Saccharomyces cerevisiae S288C: one gene and its partner. The protein of the gene in region 1 interacts with the protein of each later gene in a pairwise test. Each region holds a gene or a part of one and is shown in the gene's direction. Other genes may lie near its edges. The genes, in order: IRC6 and RCK2.

What was found.
Region 2: the proteins of IRC6 (region 1) and RCK2 interact in a two-hybrid assay, tested with the Saccharomyces cerevisiae proteins (one study listed by BioGRID).

What each region holds. Positions count from the first base shown.
Region 1 is NC_001138.5:238,581-241,871, reverse strand, and holds IRC6 (Irc6p), read left to right. Parts: upstream 1-2,044; coding exon 2,045-2,758; downstream 2,759-3,291. Other genes in the region: DUG1 (metallodipeptidase), read left to right, coding at 435-1,880; KEG1 (Keg1p), read right to left, coding at 2,812-3,291. UniProt on the Saccharomyces cerevisiae protein: Involved in gross chromosomal rearrangements (GCRs) and telomere healing.
Region 2 is NC_001144.5:632,562-636,894, forward strand, and holds RCK2 (serine/threonine protein kinase RCK2), read left to right. Parts: upstream 1-1,690; coding exon 1,691-3,523; downstream 3,524-4,333. Other genes in the region: E3 ubiquitin-protein ligase IRC20, read right to left, coding at 1-793; YEF3 (translation elongation factor EF-3), read left to right, coding at 4,219-4,333. UniProt on the Saccharomyces cerevisiae protein: Serine/threonine-protein kinase involved in a signal transduction pathway that is activated by changes in the osmolarity of the extracellular environment.

The sequences.
Region 1 (3,291 bases):
CCCTTTAAATTAAACAACCTAATAAAATCAGCAGACGCAAGAAGGAAAAACCTCTGACACCCTTTCCAGAAGTTATGTTGACAAGAAAGTTTGAAATTTTTGGATTAATAAGTCGATTTTATTATGACTAGCGAAGGCGAACTAAACAAGAAGTCGATTAAATCCCTCGAGTGATTGATAACTCCACAACACATTTTGTGCGCCAATCGGTGGGTTAAATACTCGAGCACATCTTTTAGAATAAGTATTCGTATTCTTTTAAGTTGACCAATGCCACAGCATATTTTAGCAATATCCCTTATATTCGTCATTCAAAACGGCTACAAGAAAATGTGTCAAAAAAAAAAGAGAGACTATAATAGCAACATGTTGTTCTTATCAATTGAATCTCCCTTCATTGTTAGTTCAGTTGCTCCAGAGCATCGTACACAAGCATGTCTCACTCACTTACTTCCGTTTTCCAAAAGATTGATTCTTTAAAGCCTCAGTTCTTCAGCAGACTGACTAAGGCTATTCAAATCCCCGCTGTTTCTTCGGATGAATCACTAAGGTCCAAAGTCTTCGATAAGGCCAAGTTTATCTCCGAGCAATTATCACAATCGGGGTTCCATGACATTAAAATGGTGGATCTGGGCATTCAACCTCCACCAATTTCTACGCCAAATCTGTCTCTACCTCCTGTGATTCTGTCTAGGTTCGGCAGCGACCCTTCAAAAAAGACTGTGTTGGTTTACGGTCACTATGATGTGCAACCTGCTCAATTGGAAGATGGTTGGGATACTGAGCCATTCAAGCTTGTCATTGATGAGGCTAAAGGTATCATGAAAGGAAGGGGTGTCACCGATGACACTGGTCCCTTATTATCTTGGATTAACGTTGTGGACGCCTTCAAAGCCTCCGGACAAGAATTCCCCGTTAACTTAGTTACTTGTTTCGAAGGAATGGAGGAAAGTGGTTCTTTGAAATTGGATGAATTGATTAAAAAGGAAGCTAATGGTTACTTTAAAGGTGTAGATGCCGTTTGTATTTCCGATAATTACTGGCTAGGCACTAAGAAGCCTGTTTTGACTTATGGTCTAAGAGGTTGCAACTACTATCAAACCATCATTGAGGGTCCAAGTGCAGATTTACACTCTGGTATCTTTGGTGGTGTTGTTGCTGAACCAATGATCGATTTAATGCAAGTTCTCGGTTCCCTTGTGGATTCTAAGGGTAAGATCCTGATTGACGGTATTGACGAAATGGTTGCTCCTCTAACCGAAAAGGAGAAGGCTCTATACAAGGATATCGAATTTAGCGTCGAAGAATTGAACGCTGCAACTGGCTCTAAGACAAGTTTGTACGACAAGAAGGAAGACATCTTGATGCACAGATGGAGGTATCCTTCGTTGTCCATTCATGGTGTGGAAGGCGCCTTTTCCGCTCAAGGTGCAAAGACTGTCATTCCAGCTAAGGTCTTCGGTAAGTTTTCCATTAGAACCGTCCCCGACATGGATTCTGAGAAACTGACCTCTTTGGTCCAGAAGCATTGTGATGCCAAATTCAAGTCCTTGAACTCTCCAAACAAGTGCAGAACAGAATTGATCCATGATGGTGCTTATTGGGTTTCTGATCCATTCAACGCCCAATTTACTGCTGCTAAAAAGGCCACAAAACTGGTCTATGGTGTCGATCCTGATTTTACCAGGGAAGGTGGTTCCATTCCTATCACTTTGACTTTCCAAGATGCCTTGAACACTAGTGTCTTATTGCTGCCAATGGGTAGAGGCGATGATGGTGCTCATTCAATCAATGAAAAGTTAGATATTTCAAATTTTGTTGGTGGTATGAAGACGATGGCTGCTTACTTGCAATATTACTCTGAATCGCCAGAAAACTAAGTCATCTTATTTATATATGTGTATATATGTGTAAATTCCATGTCATTCAAGTTTACTCATTCCTATTCGAATTCTGAAAAGAGAGGAAAAACAGAAAACTCTTTATAGAGAAAATCTGATGCAGCAAGATAGCAAGTATATATACGCAAAAATACCAATCTACCATGGTTCTTCAATACCCCCAGAATAAAATATTGGTTTTATCAGATCACCCACACAACTTTTTAAAAACACAATTTTTGCAAGACCTGTTTCATTGCTCTAGCACGGGCATCAGTATAGTTAAGGACCAAACTTGGGAAAATAGATACTATAAAGTCCATTTTGATCTTTATATTGACTCTTGCAAAGAGATACCAGTATGGGTGGAAGAATTTATAACGCCTGAATGTGAACCGCTTAGAAATGTCATGGCAGGAATTATCTTAATAACGGACATCCGGCAAACAAAACCTCAAGAACTGCTGCACCAATTCATGATAGCTGCCCATCGAAATACTTTTGTTGTGTTGGCCAATGTGAACGAAGAAGTCGAGCAAGATGAAATTGATGAACTGAATGAGATATGGAGCAATGCCTTTACAAACGTCATCGAATTCGTAAACTGGAAAAGGTCAAAACCAACTGTTAATCATAACGACTATGGAGAAAAATTGGGGCTTGATAGGATCCAGGAGATTATAGATACCCACGACTGGTTAAATTGTGAAGTTCAACCGGCTACTAAAATAAGGGAGGAAATTCCTAATGAAATGCCCCTCGAACAAATAATTAGGAATTTGCAAAGTGCAAGGCTAAAATATAAGTCTATCGAGAATAGTAGTGAAGCTGATGCTTTTGCAAATGAAATGGCTGACGAACTATCCAGATATTTATGAGTATGTACAGATATGTATATGTGTATACATATGTATTAAACCAATAAGATTGCTCATTTTGTTAATAGTTTTTTGTATGCTGTTAGTAGTACAGGGAAGTATGCTAGTAAAACCACCCTGTTGATTATGTCCAAAGTCGGGGTAGAATGATAGTTCTTAACCTGGATATTTAATAGTAGCAATGCAAATTCACTCAGGTAGAGAATTGGCAATGTAACAAATGTGTTAACCTTCCATACAAGTGTTCTTTCCTTTACGCCCTTACGTTTAAAAAGTTTGCACCAATGGCAATATGCCTGTGATAAAGATAAGGAAATAATGAAACTAGAATATGATGCATTCTTGAGGATCAATGCATGCTCATAATCGTCATAAAAATGGATCACGCTGACTAAATAGATAAAATTTAGGTCTTTCAAAAACGTTCTTGAAAGCAAACCATATTTGAACCCGTGGAATCTAAGCAACCAAATAACTTCCATGATGCTGGAATAAAACATCAAATATATCAAGAATTCGTGGATTCCTCCCGG
Region 2 (4,333 bases), on another chromosome or scaffold:
TTTGAGAAATAAATTGTTTTTGAATGAAGTTTGAATGGATATGGCTGTGCTTGTGATATCGCTCAAATTCGTTCTCGTCCCTATTAGAGAACGTCAAGTCCAGTATTTGGTTAGCCTCCACGGAAAACCGGTTGAATTTATTATTTAAAAACTTCAACTTCAAATTAAAAGATAAAACCCATGTTAAAGAGGAATCATTGTATCGGAATACGACTGGAGAGCATTCAAAATCTTTGTAGGACAAAGATAATTCGTGTATACGACTTTTTAGTAATTTTTCAGGATCGTTAACATTTGAATTTTTTTTTCTTCTCTTTCTTGATGGTTTGCGTTCTAAAGATTTACGATTTTCTAACTGATTTCGTAGGGCCCTTTCTTGGTTTTTATGAGCACATATATCCAAGATCAGCGGAAGTTGTTTGTCAACAGCGATTTTTGAATTGTTCTCCATTTTAAATCCAATTTGAAATAAGGATACGGAATCTGACGACACAACAAGTGTTGCCTCGTTATCATTTTCACAAGGTAAGATCTCTATATCAACAATAAATTTAAATAACTGCCTACCGTTGTTGGAAAGACTTATTCGCTCTGGTATTTCGATATTTACCGAGGCAACGTTGATTAATTCTTTTCCGTTCTTGCTAACTTTTTGAGTTACAGTCTCTTGTTCCTGATTTAGCGCTGGCAATGCTGCTATCACTGAATCAAAAGAACCATTTTCTAGGAAAAAGTCGCATTTTTCGGCAGTCACGTTGTACTCCCTTGCTAATAGCGCACCTACTGCAGACATTTACCGTCGAATAAGTTGGCCTTTCCTGGAGTTCATTCCTTTAGACAGCGCCTAGAAAGTGGCAAATCAATACATTCATCAGCCACATTTCATCAGCTGTAGATCTGGAAAAGACGGGTAGCAGTTCGAGTGTTCCGAAAAAGGAAAAAACGAGCCTTATCCTTGGTCAGAGATGCGAGCAGGTAATTCCTTGAGCTCTCATAGGAGTGAAGCTATCCCAGACTCCTTGGATGTCCCTGTATTTGCGGTCAAGTTTGTTCTTTGACTGGTTCGTCATTTCGAGCTCACTTAAAAACAGGAGTTATTCAGCTACATCTTCAAGCTAATAAAACATCCGTTGCGCAGGCACTCTTTTTAGTAGTTGCCATTTCCTTTATTCTTGAAAGTACGAAGGCTGAAAAAGAGCCACTACGATCCAAAAAATCACCGTTAGTTTTAGTCGTCCACGAGTACGTTGGCATAAAGTCTAGTAATCTTTTTACTTTATAGCAATCAAGAGAAAAAAGGAGGATAAAGGGACATTTATTTGTTATTGTTTTTTGTTCTTTTTAAACTTTTTTACTGGCTAGGTTTAAGGTTATAATTATAAATCCAGTGATTAAGAGGAAACCTCGTCAAGAATCCTAGATAATAGTAATCAGCGACAGTTATTTCAACGAAGTCAAACTCTATCTCTGGGGCTTTATCTCTCCTATTGACATCTAACTTTTTACAAACGCTTACTAGAAAAGACGGATCGGCCAAAGAAAAAAAAAGAGTGACATCGAAAAAATTAAAGAAAATAAAATCCCAGATAGTTCATACGTTATTTGAAGTACAAACATTTAACGATTGGAAAAGACGAAAGTATTGTTAAGAGTACTGCTTATTTAGAGAGGATCAAACAAAATCTCTTCGATGCTTAAAATAAAGGCCCTTTTCTCGAAAAAGAAACCGGATCAGGCAGATTTGTCTCAGGAATCTAAAAAACCATTCAAGGGTAAGACCAGGTCAAGCGGTACAAATAACAAAGATGTTTCCCAGATTACTTCTTCCCCTAAGAAAAGCTTTCAGGACAAAAATATAGTTCAGTACCCGAGTGTTGTCGCAGATGACCATCATATGAAGTCTTTAACCGATGAATTAGTAACCACGATAGACTCGGACTCTTCACCGAGTGATAATATTACCACGGAAAATGTGGAAACAGTTACTTCCGTGCCAGCTATCGATGTCCATGAAAGTAGTGAAGGTCAATTAAGTTCCGACCCCTTAATATCTGACGAATCTCTTTCGGAACAAAGCGAGATTATCAGTGATATCCAGGATGACAGTACTGATGATGACAATATGGAAGATGAAATTCCGGAAAAATCCTTCCTCGAACAAAAGGAATTGATAGGTTACAAGCTGATCAATAAAATCGGTGAAGGTGCTTTTTCAAAAGTCTTTAGAGCCATACCTGCTAAAAATAGTTCTAATGAATTTTTAACTAAAAACTATAAAGCTGTTGCCATTAAAGTTATCAAAAAGGCAGATTTATCCTCGATTAATGGTGATCATCGTAAGAAGGACAAAGGGAAGGACAGCACTAAAACTTCTTCCAGAGATCAAGTCTTGAAGGAAGTTGCACTACATAAGACGGTTTCCGCTGGTTGTTCACAAATTGTCGCGTTCATAGACTTCCAAGAAACAGATAGCTATTATTATATTATTCAAGAGTTACTAACCGGTGGGGAAATCTTCGGCGAAATTGTTAGGTTGACCTATTTCAGTGAAGATTTATCAAGGCATGTAATCAAACAATTAGCACTGGCTGTTAAACATATGCATTCACTAGGTGTAGTGCATCGTGATATAAAACCTGAGAATCTTCTTTTTGAACCGATTGAATTCACACGCTCTATAAAACCAAAATTGAGGAAATCGGATGATCCGCAAACAAAGGCAGACGAGGGAATTTTCACACCAGGAGTTGGTGGTGGTGGAATTGGTATAGTAAAACTAGCTGATTTTGGTTTGTCTAAACAAATATTTTCCAAGAACACCAAGACTCCTTGTGGTACAGTCGGTTACACTGCCCCTGAAGTTGTCAAAGATGAGCATTATTCTATGAAAGTGGATATGTGGGGGATTGGTTGCGTTTTGTACACAATGTTATGTGGGTTCCCGCCATTCTATGATGAGAAAATTGACACTTTAACTGAAAAAATATCAAGGGGTGAGTATACCTTTCTGAAACCTTGGTGGGATGAAATCAGCGCCGGTGCCAAGAATGCCGTGGCTAAGCTATTAGAACTAGAGCCGTCTAAAAGATACGACATTGACCAGTTTTTGGACGACCCATGGTTAAATACATTCGATTGTTTACCAAAGGAGGGCGAATCTTCACAAAAGAAAGCAGGTACTTCCGAAAGACGCCATCCGCATAAGAAACAATTCCAACTATTTCAAAGAGACTCCTCGCTACTGTTTTCACCAGCTGCTGTTGCTATGCGTGACGCCTTTGATATTGGTAATGCTGTGAAACGTACCGAAGAAGACCGTATGGGAACACGTGGAGGATTAGGCTCGCTTGCTGAGGACGAAGAATTGGAAGATAGTTACAGTGGCGCCCAAGGCGATGAACAGCTGGAACAAAATATGTTCCAATTAACGCTGGATACGTCCACGATTCTGCAAAGAAGAAAAAAAGTTCAAGAAAATGACGTAGGGCCTACAATTCCAATAAGCGCCACTATCAGGGAATAGCAACTTTCCCTTCTGTTTCAATCTTTTTACCTATTCCTTTTTAAAAGATATATATACATTAAACTCCTTCTACAAGTATATATTTTATACATATCTACAGGGCGTATATATACATAACATTTTAAGATAAGCAAGTGAATGTTGATTCCCGTTTCTTAGTCAACACTTCTTTCTATTTTACCCGGTCGTTACCCTATTAAAAAAACAACTTACAATCATTGTTCGCCCCTTCCATACTTACTGCCACTCGCAAAAGGGCCCAACCAGGGCAATTACGTATCAAAAAATCATGACAGGCTGGGTAATAAATATTCGTGAAGAAAGAAGAAATTAAAAAAAGAAACGAAGAAGCAAAAAAAAGAAAAGACTCCGTTTAATCACTTTCAACCGCGGTTTATCCGGCCCCACCCATGCATAACCCTAAATTATTAGATCACTTAGCACGTGAAAAAGAAACGTTTTTAATGTTTTTTTTTTTTTTTTCTTTTTCTTTTTTTGCGTTGGTGAAAATTTTTTCGCTTCCTCGAGTATAATTATCTCATCTCATCTTTCATATAAGATAAGAAGTTTTATAAAAACCTTTTGCATCAAAATTTTGTAGAATATCTCTTTTTCTTACGCTCTCTTTCTTTCCTTAATTGTTTTCTAAAGAACCGTGTATTTTTCTAGTTCGAATCCATCGATAACATTAAAAGATGTCTGATTCCCAGCAATCCATTAAGGTTCTAGAAGAACTATTCCAGAAGTTATCTGTTGCCACTGCTGACAACAGACACGAAATCGCTTCTGAAGTCGCTTCTTTCTTGAATG